2 linked regions of the Pelodiscus sinensis genome follow. The protein of the gene in region 1 binds, or shares a complex with, the protein of each later gene. Links are inferred from orthologs where the notes say so. Each region holds a gene or a part of one and is shown on either strand. Other genes may lie near its edges.

The links. The genes of interacting proteins can lie anywhere in the genome.
Region 2: the proteins of SENP2 (region 1) and SUMO3 are in contact, whole or in part, in a crystal structure (PDB 2IO1), measured with the Homo sapiens proteins. The link is inferred for Pelodiscus sinensis from reciprocal best matches to the Homo sapiens genes SENP2 and SUMO3. Residues at the interface, in NP_067640.2 of Homo sapiens: Gln385, Asp386, Phe393, Lys394, Leu395, Arg396, Trp410, Leu411, Asn412, Asp413, Glu414, Ser439, Thr440, Phe441, Pro444, Lys445, Arg456, Trp457, Lys459, His474, Lys476, Val477, His478, Trp479, Met497, Gln499, Gln542, Asn544, Gly545, Ser546; in NP_008867.2 of Homo sapiens: Arg55, Arg58, Arg60, Phe61, Asp62, Gly63, Pro65, Asn67, Asp70, Leu75, Asp81, Asp84, Phe86, Gln87, Gln88, Gln89, Thr90, Gly91, Gly92, Val93, Pro94, Glu95.

Annotation. Positions count from the first base shown.
Region 1 is NC_134720.1:3,563,645-3,570,544, reverse strand, and holds the start of SENP2 (sentrin-specific protease 2), read left to right. Parts: upstream 1-3,897; 5' UTR 3,898-3,955; coding exon 3,956-4,056; intron 4,057-4,110; exon of another isoform or gene 4,111-4,353; intron 4,354-6,900. UniProt on the Homo sapiens protein: Protease that catalyzes two essential functions in the SUMO pathway.
Region 2 is NC_134720.1:3,174,914-3,182,582, forward strand, and holds the start of SUMO3 (small ubiquitin-related modifier 3), read right to left. Parts: upstream 3,013-7,669; 5' UTR 2,849-3,012; coding exon 2,828-2,848; intron 1-2,827. UniProt on the Homo sapiens protein: Ubiquitin-like protein which can be covalently attached to target lysines either as a monomer or as a lysine-linked polymer. Does not seem to be involved in protein degradation and may function as an antagonist of ubiquitin in the degradation process.

The DNA of each region.
Region 1 (6,900 bases):
GTCTACACTGCACGTGCGTTCTTGTGCAAGTAAATTTACAGACTCGAGTCAGAAAACAGGGCTTCTTCTGGAAGAGTTATTCCTCTCCCCACGAGGAATAAGCCCTCTTGCGCAAGAGGGCAGTGTAGACAGGCAACATGAATTTCTTGCGCAAGAAACCCCTGTGGCTAAAATGGCCATCAGAGCTTTCTTGCGCAAGAGAATGTCCACACTGCCATAGATGCTCTTGTGCAAAAGCACATGCCAGTGTAGACATGCTCTTGTGGAAGACTTTTTGCACAAGAACTCTTCAACATAACAGTTCTTGTGCAAGAAGCTGCCAGTGTAGACGTAACCCTTAGGAGTTTGAACTTTTGGGGCAGGCTATGCAGAGGATAGGAGCTAAGCAGAGAATATTCAGAGCAGAGTCCTGAACAAGGGGAAAATCTGCGTGTCCTGAGTGACTGAGCAATATTTGTTCCTGAGGTTTTTAACCTTATAGTTGTTTATATTTTTTGGCCTCTTATTTTAGCCCTTCAGTTTGCTGACTTTTCAGTTGGCTTGGTCAGGTTCAAAGGTCAATAGGGGCTTCACCTGACATGGCTGACTGAAAAGACAATAACAGCACTGAGGAAATGAGATCAAAAGCCTGTCAGAGGTTGTCCGTATCGCCTGGCACTCCCCGCTTCCCATGAGCAGGGATTTGAAAGCTGGAAAAGAAGGGATTAACTGAATTAAGGCTGCCTGGCTGCTGGATGGTGAACACAGCTGATTGAAAGGGAATAGAGGCTGCTACTTTGGAGGGAGGGAGGAGAGGCTTTATAAGAGGTTCAGCTGCTTGGGAGGAGCCTTGGCCACAGGCCTTCTGTAGAAGTGAGTTTGGAAGCAGGTGCTGTGAGTAATTGCAGGGGTGGGAAGTAAGGTGGCTGAGCAGAGCAGAAGCCAGGCGTGGTGACTCAGCTGCCAAACTTACAGGGTCTCTTGGGTGATGCTCCATGCAAACTATGTAAGGAACTGATTTGTGTAGAACCACACATTTGTAATATCAACAGTGGGGTAATGTAGGGCAAGCTTGCAGCAGCTGTGACCCTGCCAGAGAATTTCATCTTTCTTCCCCTTGGTAGGTATGGGAAAGGGCTTACATTATGATGGCTGGGGTCATCTACTCTTCATGGCCTCTCTGCTGTATCGGTCAAGTGGTGGGAAATGTATGTGTGGGTGGCAGGGAGGGTTCTATGCTGCAGGATCTCCCTTCATCTCTGGCCAGCAAACAGCCAGTTGAGGAGAACATTTTATAATCCCTCCTGAACTGGGCTAGATTCAAATTGGTGTCCTACAGGGGAAAAGTTCTGTGGGTCATTAGCAATATTTCATGAGCATTTCCTAGCTTGAGTGAGTGACTTTACAACCATTTGTTGGTTTTTAATTTTTTTTTCTGTTACAGACTAACACAGCTACCCCTGTGAACCTTCCTAAGTTCTTTTAATGCAGCTTGTCAATGTAATGCCTTGGCTTTTCTTGCAGTGAAAAGGTAAAAAAAATCCATTAAGTGCAACTGTAATCCCACCACCCCCAGCATGTTGGTTTGGAGCCACACCTGTTAACGTTGATGGCTGTTCCTTGGGCTACCAGGTTTTGCTGGCTGGGAGCAGGAGGCTGTTCTTATGTGAGCCTGCATTAGAGGAGGATGCATAATCAGCTGTTTCAGTGTGTTATGTAAGCATGAATAACCCCAATTTACAGACTGCACAGTTAAGGAAAAAGATATGCCCTGTGCTTTCTGAGAGGAAATTTGGGTTGGCTGTATTCATATTCCTGGGTTCTATCTCCAGCTTAGGTAATCTCTTTGAGGGATATGTTTAGTAACAACTGGGAAGGAGAGCCACTTATCAACAGTCAGTGGAAATGAAATTGGAACACATGCATGCCTGCCTTCCAATATGATGCACATCCTCCTACGCCAAAGGCTGTTTTAATAGGGAAGCAACACCAGGATCATCGTCCATTCTCTTATTGGGCATATGAATTCTGTGATCCAATGAAGTGAGACGTTAGGGCAATACAGACAGGAAGATCAATGGCGTTGAGGTATTTTAATATGGTGACAGAGAGCTGTGATGGTAAGTTACAATCTTCAGCAGTGTAGAACTTGTCACAAATCGGAATGGATATTCCTAAGGACAGAAAAATGCATCTCTCCTTGCCAGACCTCTCTGTCCTGCTGCATACCAGCTCTTGTCCACTTTTCATACAGAAAGTGTCAGGCGCTTACCAGATCAGGCTGAAAGATCACTCCTTAAGGCTAGTATATTCCATTGCTCAGCCATGAGCAGGAGACCTGATTGTACGCATCACTGGTATGCTACACCCTGTAGTGGAGAACTGCTAAATTAGCTGCTTGTATATTGCAAAGTAGACTGATGACGCACAGGGACTCTTGCTGCACCTCTTGTCCGTCATGTCAGCTGTGCGATAGAGAAGCCTTGTTACTTAAGCACCTCTAAAGGTCTCAGGAAAACAGAGAAGCAACAGCCCATCCATGGGTAAATTTGTAATGTTCAGAAAAGGTATTTTATTTTTATTTTTGGCCCGCCCCACGTCCATATAATGAAAAGAACTTGTACTTTCAGATTTTGAGGGCTATGCCTAATTGAATAGTAGAAGTTGTTTTGAAAAGGTGAACACATTTTACATAGCTTTTGAAATGGGCTTCAAAACTAATTTTTGAAATTGTGAGTTGAGTGAGGTAATCTTTTCTTGGACCAATGTTTGCTTGGCAGAGGGAGATGAGGTTAGGATCTCACACACAGCTCTTCCTCAGGTCATTTCTGAAGTGTTTAACATTTTTTGTCCTGCTTAGTCACAAAACTGAAGACTTTACCAAGTACCTTCTGGTATGGTGCCCATCAACAATTTGTGTGTATTGCTCAGGTGTGGAACCACCATGAGCTCTGTAAATAACAAACATGCTAGGGAGGGTGAGGCATGAACCCAAGCAATGGGCAGCACTCCAGCACTAGAAGGTAAAATGTTGAAGGTGAGCAGTAGCTGGAAACCAGGAATGAATCTTTGCTGTTGAAATTGATGGAGGAAACAGCTGGTGGAAAACAGAGGGGTGGCTTTTTTTTGGGGGGGGGGAAGAGGAGAAAGTGTGAAGTGGTGTGTTGGTGGGAGAGGGCATTGCCAGGGTAAGGAGTGGGGGTGTGTGTGCTGTGAGGGAGGGATGTGTTTGTGGTGGGTGTGCTGGTCACGGGAGGAGGGGTGTTTGGGGGGGTGCTGGTCAAGGGAGGAGGGGTGTTTGTGGGGGTGGAGGAGGGGCTGGTCAGTGGGGGAGGGGTGTGTGGGGGTGGAGGGGGTGCTGGTCAGTGGGGGAGGGGTGTTGGGGGGGTGCTGGTCAGTGGGGGAGGGGTGTTGGGGGGGTGCTGGTCAGTGGGGGAGGGGTGTGTGTGGGGGTAGAGGGGGCTGGTCAGTGGGGGAGGGGTGTGTGGGGGTGGAGGGGGTGCTGGTCAGTGGGGGAGGGGTGTGTGGGGGGGTGTGCTGGTCAGTGGGGGAGGGGTGTGTGGGGGTGTGCTGGTCAGTGGGGGAGGGGTGTGTGTGGGGGTTGCGGGTGGTGTGCTGGTCAGTGGGGGAGGGGTGTGTGTGTGGGGGTGCTGATGGGGGTTGTGGCACTAGCGAGTGGCAGGGAGCCGGGTCGGTGCCTGGCGGGGGCGGAGCCCGGCTCGCCCCGCCCACCGCCATGAGACGCGCGCTCCTCCGCCAAAGGTGATGCAGAGACGCGCGCGGCGCTCGGTCCCCGCCCCTCCCTTTTCTCCCCCAATCAGGACCGAACAAGCCTCTGGCCAATGAGGAAGGGGTCGGGCGGGTCCCCGCGCGCAGGTAGCGCCGATTCGCCCCGCGCCTGCTGGAGAGGGCTCCGTCCGTGACGTCACGCCGTCGCGCGAAACAGCCGCACTTCCGCCTCCGGTGGCCGAGGCCTATGTACCAATGGCTGGTGGAGGCGCTGCGCTCCCTGCTCTTCCCCAGCGCCCCCCGGCGGGACGCGCCGCCCCCCGCCCCGCGGAAGAGACGGCACCACAGGTCAGCCCGCCCCGCGGCGCGCGGTGCTCGGCCGCCGGGGCCCCGATCCTGAGCGGCGGCGCTCGCGTGCCGGAGCCGGGCGCTGCTGGGGGGCCTGGCCGCGTTCGGCCTCAGGCACCGCGCGGGCTCGGCTTCCCCGGCGGCTCCGCGCTCCCCGGGGCTGGGGCGAGCGGCTCGGCCCGCGCTGGGTGTCTCCTCCTCCTGGGGCCTGCGAGCGCCCCGCTCCACTGCCCTTCGGTCCAGAGGGCTCACGGTTTGGGGCAGAGAGGCGTGTCGCGCTGGCCAGTCGCTCCCTGGGTGAGCGCTGCTAACGGGGGGATCCCCACAGTCGGAGAACTTGGTAAAAACGTTTTTCCGGAGCCTGAAGCCACCAGAGACTCGCTGTAGTTTTGTTCTGGCGCTTGTTCAGGTCAAGCCTCAGGATTTTTGTTTTGGGGCATGTAGTTCTGGGTGCTGTTTCATACAGAATATGAGCTTAATGGGCCAATAGATGAGGTTGGGTAGAAGTGGTAGATTAGTTGTGCTGTCCAAGATTCGATTTGTGAGTTGCTTATTTTGGAATATTTTGCAGTTAAATCTATTAAAAAGAATACTTCATGTGAAACCTCAATAGTTTTAAACTAAAGCCGGTGTTCCCACATTTAAGAACTTGAACAGGAATTCTCTGTTGCCTCCTGAAGCAAAATACAGGACAATGTAGCACTTTAAAGACTAACAAGATGGTTTATTAGATGATGAGCTTTCGTGGGCCAGACCCACTTCCTCAGATCAAATAGTGGAAGAAAATAGTCACAACCATATATACCAAAGGATACAATTTAAAAAATGAACACCTATGAAAAGGACAATCAAATTTCAGAACAGAAGGTGGATGGAGAGGGGTGGGGGAAGGTAAATGTCTGTGAACTAATGGTATTAGAGGTGGTGATTGGGGAAGCTATCTTTGTAATGGGTAAGATAGCTAGAGTCTTTGTTGAGACCCCCACATAGAGTGTCGAATTTTAGCATGAATGACAGTTCAGAGGATTCCTTTTCAAGTGCAGCTTTAAAAGGGATTTAAAAGTGCCTCCTGTCGTTCTATACATTATTTTGAAAAGTTTTCACTCCCTCGTTGTTTGTGCGACCCAACAAATAAAAGTAGACACTGATTGTACAGAGGAAACTATGACACTGAATTGCATACAGTGCTGTCAAACACAAATGGTACAGTTGTGAAAGTGTGTGGGTGGAGGGGTGGGGTTGTACATCAGTTATAATCTTAGATTTTAAATGGGAAATGATCTGACGTGAGTTGGAAATTAATGGTGTGACTGACTAAAAGTGTTAGACTGCTGGTCTCAAACTATTTACTTGAGAATTACGTAATATTTGTTCCTCCTTTTTTTTTTTCTGATAAATTTTGGTTGTGGTCTTCCACCTTGATGCTCCTTGATCATCTTTACCCTTCAGAAACATACTTGATTAAACTATTAGTCATCCTCTTTCTACTCCCACTCCTGCAGTGAACCATGAAGAAAATCTGTACAGGAGCTTAAACACTTTGATACCATGCACATAAGGCTAATTATGTAAAAAGTGATGGGCAGTATGAGAAACTGAATTATTGAAGTTAGAGAAACAAAAGACTCTGAGATTCATAGGATGGTATCTAGCACTTCAGTCTGTTTGTTTTAAATCTCACAAGAGGGGACTTCTGAAATAGCAGTGTCAAAAGCTTTCTTTCTGATATTCATACTGAACTTTGTTTAATTTCATCCTATTTATTGCAGTTATATTCTCTTGTACTGCTCATTCTCCTTTTATTTTCAGTTTTCCAGTATCTGAAAGGTTTGAGCAAATCTGCCTGCTTGGGTGTCTTTTGCAGTATTACTTATTTAATAGGGAAGATTAAAGTTTTTTCCCAAGCTTCCTCTAACTTACTGCTTAATCAGTTTTGTGTACTGCTTCCTTCACTTTGTCCTTTTAGCATTACCCTAGGTTCATGGAGGTATACTTAGCTTGCCTATTTATTTTGAGATAAGGTTCCTACTAGACTTCAGAGAACCAACTGGTGCATGAACAGGAGCAAACTATAACTGGGAATATTATTTTATGTTCACTGTTTATACTTGCTCAATAACTTGATTTTCACAGACTTTGCAGATTATTTCATAGCTTGATTAGAAAGTAGGGGCATAACAGGATAATCATTTAAACAGTTAACCGGTAACCCTGGGATTATCGGTTACTGTAAACGGTTACACTCATGTTGTGCTCCCAGGAGCTGGCTGCTGCCCTCCACTGCTGCCTCTGATACAGTGGGAACTTCCCTTCTTTTCTTCCTTGCCACTCTGTCAGTTCCCAGTGCAACAAATGTATCCCTCAACTCAGTTTCATTACCACTAGGTGGTTTCTTCTTCTGCCTTGTCCTCATGATGTTTTTCCACAGATTACCATCCTCTTCTGGCAATTTGCTCTCCAGCTCTTTTTGTTCAGCAGATATCTTTAGATCTTGTGGTGTTGGTACCGATTCATCTTTCCTCTCCTGCATTATACCTAGACATGCCTGTCTGAATTCTGTCATCCCGGTTACATTTCAGTTCCTTGGATATCTTCTCCCATGAGCTGTATCTGGTGACATTTCATACACATAAACAGCTTCTGTCAGATACCTACTCAAGCATAATGTACATACTGTAGCTTCTGTCTGACCACCTTTTTTTCCTCTCTTCTAATGCTATCTCATAGCCATTGTTGTCTTTTATTCTTAGACTGTATTTCTAGAAAAAATAAAGGGGGGGGCAGACCTCCCACAAATTCCAAGAAAACTGCTAGCTGTTCGCTGTCTCAGAGAGACAAATATTT
Region 2 (7,669 bases), about 390 kb from region 1:
TTTAAATGTATTAAGAGCCACTAGTCAATTAGTTGATTAAACGCAATTTAACATCCCTATCATAAACATTCACACAAGTTATCAACACAAATGGGTAAGCTCTGCATGTAAGAGCGGCTCCTGAGCAGGAGGCTTTACTGCTCCAGCACCCTACTGGTTAAGACGACCCAATAAGCATTAGCCTTTTAGGGTGATGATTGCCAGTTAACCGGATAACATCCCTAATCCAGAGAAAAAAAAATATCTAAGAGCAGAGCTACAGAAAAGCTACACCAAGTACAGCTAGGAAAATCCAGTCCTCCTTGCCCTTAGATTGAGCCTCCCTTCTTTCAGCTTAAGACTGCTTCCAGCACACGAACTTTCTAATCTCAGTGGAAGGAAAAGAACCATTAAGGATTCTGTGGGCCACATGTTTAAAAACTCACTGGAAAGGGTCTCTGAATATCTGCTCACTGTCCTACAAAACAATTTTACACCACCTGTTTTTGCTCACATCTTTATTATACACTCCATGCAACATCCTAAATCTAAGACTGCCCACAAAAGTCAAGAAAAAGCTAAAGATTGACCAGTTAGCACTCTGTTTCCTATATAACAATCTACATCATTGCTAAGTTTTCTAGCAGGACTCTTTCTGAAACATTCTAGCTTGGCTTAGCGCTTTGGACATAGACCTACTAGGTCAATCTCATTCTATATGCTTTTACAATGCACGGATCTCAATAGCATCTGAACGCCTTCCAGTAACATGCTGCGTGATGTGACTACTGTCATATGTTATTTGTTCTCATCCTCTCCCTAGAGGGAGAAACGTGTTCAGGGAAGTATGATTGTTCAGTAGTGTCTGCTTCCACCCCTACGGCTTTTTTTATATAAATATATGTTGTTAAAGAGTGGAGAAGGCTAGATGAAAGAGATGGGTCTTGCCCTTGAATCAGAAAATGGTGAGGTTTGTGGTGGTACTTCATCCTTGGGGTAGCTCATTCCAGCATCTCAGACAACCTCTGAAGAAATCGGTCTCCTGCACAGACAAGCTTTACTCTTATTGTTGAGATTTCTACAGTGCTACAGGAGCAGAGCTGTTAACCATGCTCTTTGCCTCTGAGTTTTAGACAATCCTTTAGGTACTTGGCTCAGGCCAAGGAGCACTTTGAAGGTAACAACTGAAACCTTGATTTGCTGGTTCTATGGGAAGCCAGCATAGAGGACAGAGGACAGATGTGATATGTCTGTGTTGCTGCTGATGTGCTGTAGCCTTCTGCACTAGCAGCTCTTTGTCCATCTAGATGGGACAGAGTTTCCCTAGCTAAACAGACACAGAAGTAAGCACCGCTTGCAGATACTGACAAGTGAGAGCTCAATCAATGTTAGTGAGGAATCCAAAAGAACTCCTGACTACTGACTGGACTGAACTGACCAATTGTGGGTCTCTCTCTCTCAATCAACGTAAACAATGCCATGACCGCAGGCTCTTCAAGATACTTTCCTGTGACCATCACCTCTGTCATTGAAACGCCTTTTGGTGAAATTACACTTTTCATGGGATCCCTCAAAAAGACACCAAAGAATTTTTGAGACTTAAATGAGCTCTTGCCCAACCAATGCTCTTTCAGGGATTCAAGGGAAAATTTCAGTCACCACAACTTCCAACAAATCCAGGGTTGCCAAATCTTTCATCTCTTTTCTTGCATCAGGCAACAGGTGGAAGCGTCTTTTCTATACAGCAAAATCTTGCCAGCCAAGGAGCCCATCAACTCAACAGGAAGACTGAAGAACTTTCTCCTCCTGAACCATACCTCCTGACACATGGGCTCTGAAGATTAGTCACACAGGTCTTCTCAGTAATTCCCAAACACTTAATTTCTGGCCTCCTCATCCCACTAAATAAACTTAACAGTTTCTCAATTATCATCAGCTTAAGAATGAGTGTTCTAGTTCCAGGTGACAAGAAGTTCTTCAGTTTCTCAAGATCCTGATGACCAGGGCTTGACAAACAGTGGCGAAATCTGTTCACCAGCCCCGCAGTGCGCATGCGCAAGACCCGCATTGCACATGCAAGCGCCGCCGATGAATGGGGCGACCGGAAGAAACGTGGCGAGTAGATTCAATGACTTGTCGAGCGCTGCTGATGACCGACAATTGTTAAAACCCTGAAGAGGAAAGTCAGAAGCTTCCACAAGTTTCAGAATCAAAGAACTGAGCAAGAACCCACCAAGTACCACTGCCTCCATCAATGAGGCCCAATGCCAGCCCGTACCAAGGACGTTTTCTGTGCACTGCTGCAACACCGTCCCTTAAAGAATGTACAGGGACCACCTGAAAGAGGCATTGGCTAATCAACGGATTCGCTTTCCATCTTTTGGCACAAATCTCTTCCTCTTCAATGGCGAGTCCCGAAGTGGCAATCCAGCCGGTGGCTTTCCAGACGACGTCCAGGTCCCGCTTTCCGACGGCTCGTGTTCTCTGTGTGAGCGCGCCTGGTACCGAAAGGGGCTGGGCGTCTCACCCCACGGCCGGGCCGGAGCCCCCGGGCCACGCTGGGCGTTCCGGCTAGCCGGGCGAGGCCTCGGCCGGGGCACGTCCCCCCCGCTCCCGGGCCAGGGGTCCCCTGGGGGGCGGGGCCGGGCCCAGGGACTTGCCACAGGCCCTACCCGGACGCCCCTCCCCCACACCAGGCCTCAGGCCGCGCTTGGGGCGGGGCCACGGGGCGGGCGCTCCCCCGACGGCCCCGCGCGGCCGCTCCCGGGGCCTGGCCCGCAGCCAGGCCGCGCTCCCGGCATCCCTCGCGGGCGGGGGCGGGGGGAGCCCGTCCCGCGCAGGCCGTTACCTTGGGCTTCTCCTCGGACATGGCGGCGTCGGACGAGTCCGGCCTGGCGCGGGCACAGTCACGCTCCGGGCTCCCGCCTCGCAACCGCCGCAACTGCCCGCGAGCGCGCGCTTCGCCCCCCGAATCCCCGGCCCCTGATTGGCTCCGGCGGGGGCCACGTGCCGGCGCGCGCTCACGAGGCGCGCTCGCGAGCGATGCTTGTCGGGGGCGCGCTTTAGGGGCGGAGGCAGGGCGGGGCGCTCGGAAGTGCGTCATCGGGGAACCGGAACTGGTGCGGGGCGCCAACATGGAGGGGCCAAGGGAGCGCCCCACAGTGCTTGGGGGGGGCAGCACGGGGGCCCCCGGGGCAGCGCCTCTCAGAGCCTGGGGGGGGGCAGCACGGGGGCCCCGGGGCAGCGCCTCTCAGAGCTTGGGGGGGGGCAGCACGGGGGCCCCGGGGCAGCGCCTCTCAGAGCCTGGGGGGGGGCAGCACGGGGGCCCCGGGGCAGCGCCTCTCAGAGCCTGGGGGGGGCAGCACGGGGGCCCCCGGGGCAGCGCCTCTCAGAGCCTGGGGGGGGGGCAGCACGGGGGCCCCCGGGTCAGCGCCTCTCAGAGCCTGGGGGGGGCAGCACGGGGGCCCCGGGGCAGCGCCTCTCAGAGCCTGGGGGGGGCAGCACGGGGGCCCCGGGGCAGCGCCTCTCAGAGCCTGGGGGGGGCAGCACGGGGGCCCCCGGGGCAGCGCCTCTCAGAGCCTGGGGGGGGGGCAGCACGGGGGCCCCGGGGCAGCGCCTCCCAGAGCCTGGGGGGGGCAGCACGGGGGCCCCGGGGCAGCGCCTCTCAGAGCCTGGGGGGGGCAGCACGGGGGCCCCGGGGCAGCGCCTCCCAGAGCCTGGGGGGGGCAGCACAGGGGCCCCGGGGCAGCGCCTCCCAGAGCCTGGGGGGGGCAGCACGGGGGCCCCGGGGCAGCGCCTCTCAGAGCCTGGGGGGGGGCAGCACGGGGGCCCCGGGGCAGCGCCTCCCAGAGCCTGGGGGGGGCAGCACGGGGGCCCCGGGGCAGCGCCTCCCAGAGCCTGGGGGGGGCAGCACGGGGGCCCCGGGGCAGCGCCTCCCAGAGCCTGGGGGGGCAGCACGGGGGCCCCCGGGGCAGCGCCTCTCAGAGCCTGGGGGGGGCAGCGCGGGGGCCCCGGGGCAGCGCCTCTCAGAGCCTGGGGGGGGCAGCGCGGGGGCCCTCGGGGCAGCGCCTCTCAGAGCCTGGGGGGGGGCAGCACGGGGGCCCTCGGGGCAGCGCCTCTCAGAGCCTGGGGGGGGGCAGCACGGGGGCCCCGGGGCAGCGCCTCTCAGAGCCTGGGGGGGGGCAGCACGGGGGCCCCCGGGGCAGCGCCTCTCAGAGCCTGGGGGGGGGCAGCACGGGGGCCCCCGGGGCAGCGCCTCTCAGAGCCTGGGGGGGGGCAGCACGGGGGCCCCCGGGGCAGCGCCTCTCAGAGCCTGGGGGGGGCAGCACGGGGGCCCCCGGGGCAGCGCCTCTCAGAGCCTGGGGGGGGGCAGCACGGGGGCCCCCGGGGCAGCGCCTCTCAGAGCCTGGGGGGGGGCAGCACGGGGGCCCCCCGGGCAGCGCCTCTCAGAGCCTGGGGGGGGGCAGCACGGGGGCCCCGGGGCAGCGCCTCTCAGAGCCTGGGGGGGGCAGCACGGGGGCCCCCGGGGCAGCGCCACCCAGAGCCTGGGGGGGCAGCACGGGGGCCCCGGGGCAGCGCCTCTCAGAGCCTGGGGGGGGCAGCACGGGGGCCCCCGGGGCAGCGCCTCCCAGAGCCTGGGGGGGCAGCACGGGGGCCCCCGGGGCAGCGCCTCCCAGAGCCTGGGGGGGGGCAGCACGGGGGCCCCCGGGGCAGCGACTCCCAGAGCCTGGGGGGGGGCAGCACGGGGGCCCCTGGGGCAGCGCCTCTCAGAGCCTGGGGGGGGCAGCACGGGGCCCCCGGGGCAGCGCCTCCCAGAGCCTGGGGGGGGGCAGCACGGGGGCCCCCGGGTCAGCGCCTCTCAGAGCCTGGGGGGGGGGCAGCACGGGGGCCCCCGGGTCAGCGCCTCTCAGAGCCTGGGGGGGGGGCAGCACGGGGGCCCCCGGGGCAGCGCCTCTCAGAGCCTGGGGGGGGGGGGCAGCACGGGGGCCCCGGGGCAGCGCCTCTCAGAGCCTGGGGGGGGGCAGCACGGGGGCCCCGGGGCAGCGCCTCTCAGAGCCTGGGGGGGGGGCAGCACGGGGGCCCCGGGGCAGCGCCTCTCAGAGCCTGGGGGGGGGGCAGCACGGGGCCCCCGGGTCAGCGCGCCTCAGAGCCTGGGGGGGCAGCACGGGGCCCCCGGGTCAGCGCGCCTCAGAGCCTGGGGGGGCAGCACGGGGGCCCCCGGGTCAGCGCGCCTCAGAGCCTGGGGGGAGCAGCACGGGGGCCCCATGGTCAGCGTGCCTCAGAGCCTGGGGGGAGTAGCACGGGGGCCCCATGGTCAGCGCCTCTCAGAGCCTGGGGGGGGCAGCGCCTCTCAGAGCTTGGGGGGGCAGCACGGGGGCCCCTGGGGCAGCGCCTCTCAGAGCCTGGGGGGGCAGCACGGGGCCCCCGGGGCAGCGCCTCTCAGAGCTTGGGGGGGCAGCATGGGGCCCTGGGTCAGCGCCTCTCAGAGCCTGGGGGGGCAGCACGGGGCCCCCGGGGCAGCGCCTCTCAGAGCTTGGGGGGGCAGCACGGGGGCCCCTGGGGCAGCGCCTCTCAGAGCCTGGGGGGGCAGCACAGGGGCCCCGGGGCAGTGCCTCTCAGAGCCTGGGGGGGCAGCACGGGGACCCCCGGGGCAGCGCCTCTCAGAGCCTGGGGGGGGCAGCGCCTCTCAGAGCCTGGGGGGGGCAGCGCCTCTCAGAGCCTGGGGGGAGCAGCACGGGGGCCCCCGGGTCAGCGCCTCTCAGAGCCTGGGGGGGCAGCACCTCTCAGAGCCTGGGGGGGCAGCACGGGGGCCCCTGGGGCAGCGCCTCTCAGAGCCTGGGGGGGCAGCACAGGGGCCCCGGGGCAGCGCCTCTCAGAGCCTGGGGGGGCAGCACGGGGACCCCCGGGGCAGCGCCTCTCAGAGCCTGGGGGGAGCAGCACGGGGGCCCCCGGGTCAGCGCCTCTCAGAGCCTGGGGGGGCAGCACCTCTCAGAGCCTGGGGGGGCAGCACGGGGCCCCCGGGGCAGCGCCTCTCAGAGCCTGGGGGGGGGCAGCACAGGGGCCCCGGGGCAGCGCCTCTCAGAGCCTGGGGGGGCAGCACGGGGGCCCCGGGGCAGCGCCTCTCAGAGCCTGGGGGGGGCAGCACGGGGGCCCCATGGTCAGCGCCTCTCAGAGCCTGGGGGGGGGGCAGCGCCTCTCAGAGCCTGGGGGAGCAGCACGGGGCCCTGGGTCAGCGCCTCTCAGAGCTTGGGGGGGGCAGCATGGGGCCCTGGGTCAGCGCCTCTCAGAGCCTGGGGGGGCAGCACGGGGCCCCCGGGGCAGCGCCTCTCAGAGCTTGGGGGGGCAGCACGGGGGCCCCGGGGCAGCGCCTCTCAGAGCCTGGGGGGGCAGCACAGGGGCCCCTGGGGCAGCGCCTCCCACAGCCTGAGGGAGGGGGGGCAGCTTCCCCCAAGTCCTGGTACTGCCACAATTACATCTGCCCTCCAGGAGTACTGGCCTGGTGGGCGAGGGGGGGGGTGGAGGGGGTAGCCCCTGGCAGCCCCTTCCCTGTCTGACACCCCCCAGCACAGACACACAATGTCCGGCTCCGAGCCGCCACTGTGCACCCGCAGCTTGAGCGTGGTACTGTCCTCCCCATTTTAAAGATGGGGCAACTGAGGCTGCATAGAGGCGTACAAATACAGGAAACCCCCCCCTTTCATCCAGCCCAAGTTGCGACCCCCCCCCCACCCACTTACGACCGTTTTTGTAAGTGTGGAAGGGGCTGGAAACCCCCGCCTTACATCCTTGGCCTGTAATTACAACACCGCATGGCACCTATTGTAAACGTAGGTTCGAGTTACAACGCCCCCGCCTTGCACCGCTTCCCCCAGAACCAATCACATCACAAGTCTGGGAGCGCCTGTACTTGTGTTCCCTTGTGTGACTGCTCATGACTCTCCCGTGTACACATGCAAAATACACCCCCATGTACACTAATGGACATATAGATAGCTATAGCCCTCTGTGTGGCCAATGGCCAACATATATACACATAGAAATAAACATGAACCAATATACACTAATGAATATGCCTGCATAAACATGTATGAGCATATAGGAAAACAGGCACATGTTTTTGTAAATGAAAAGACATGCATAAACATGCATCCTGAGCTGTTTATAGTGTATCCACATGCCAACATGGATGCACACATGTACAAAACATGCACAAAGTATGCATAGATGCTATTTCCCCCACAAAGTATGCATAGATGCACAAACCCCACAACTAACATACATGTATGCACAACTCCTGCATATACAATAGTAACAGACATGTATACAAATAAATGCACACAATTCAGACCAGTGCACAAAAAGTGCACATACGTATACATACACTGGGGAATGTATTTGGCTCCTATGGATCCTGGCATGTTGTGCTAATACATATACAAGACATGTTATACAAAAGGTCAGACTAGATCTCGCACATTCCTTCTAGCCATAGATTCTATTAAAAGACTTGCATACAAAACCACATAAATGTATACATATAAATACATGTATGTATGTGGAAGGAGTTGTAAGCATACATTTGCAAAGGAGAATACGTATGTGCATACAAAGCAATAATTCACATACATCAGTGTGACATACATCCCTTGTAGAAGCAATACAAGTTACACAATACACATAAGGAACAGAG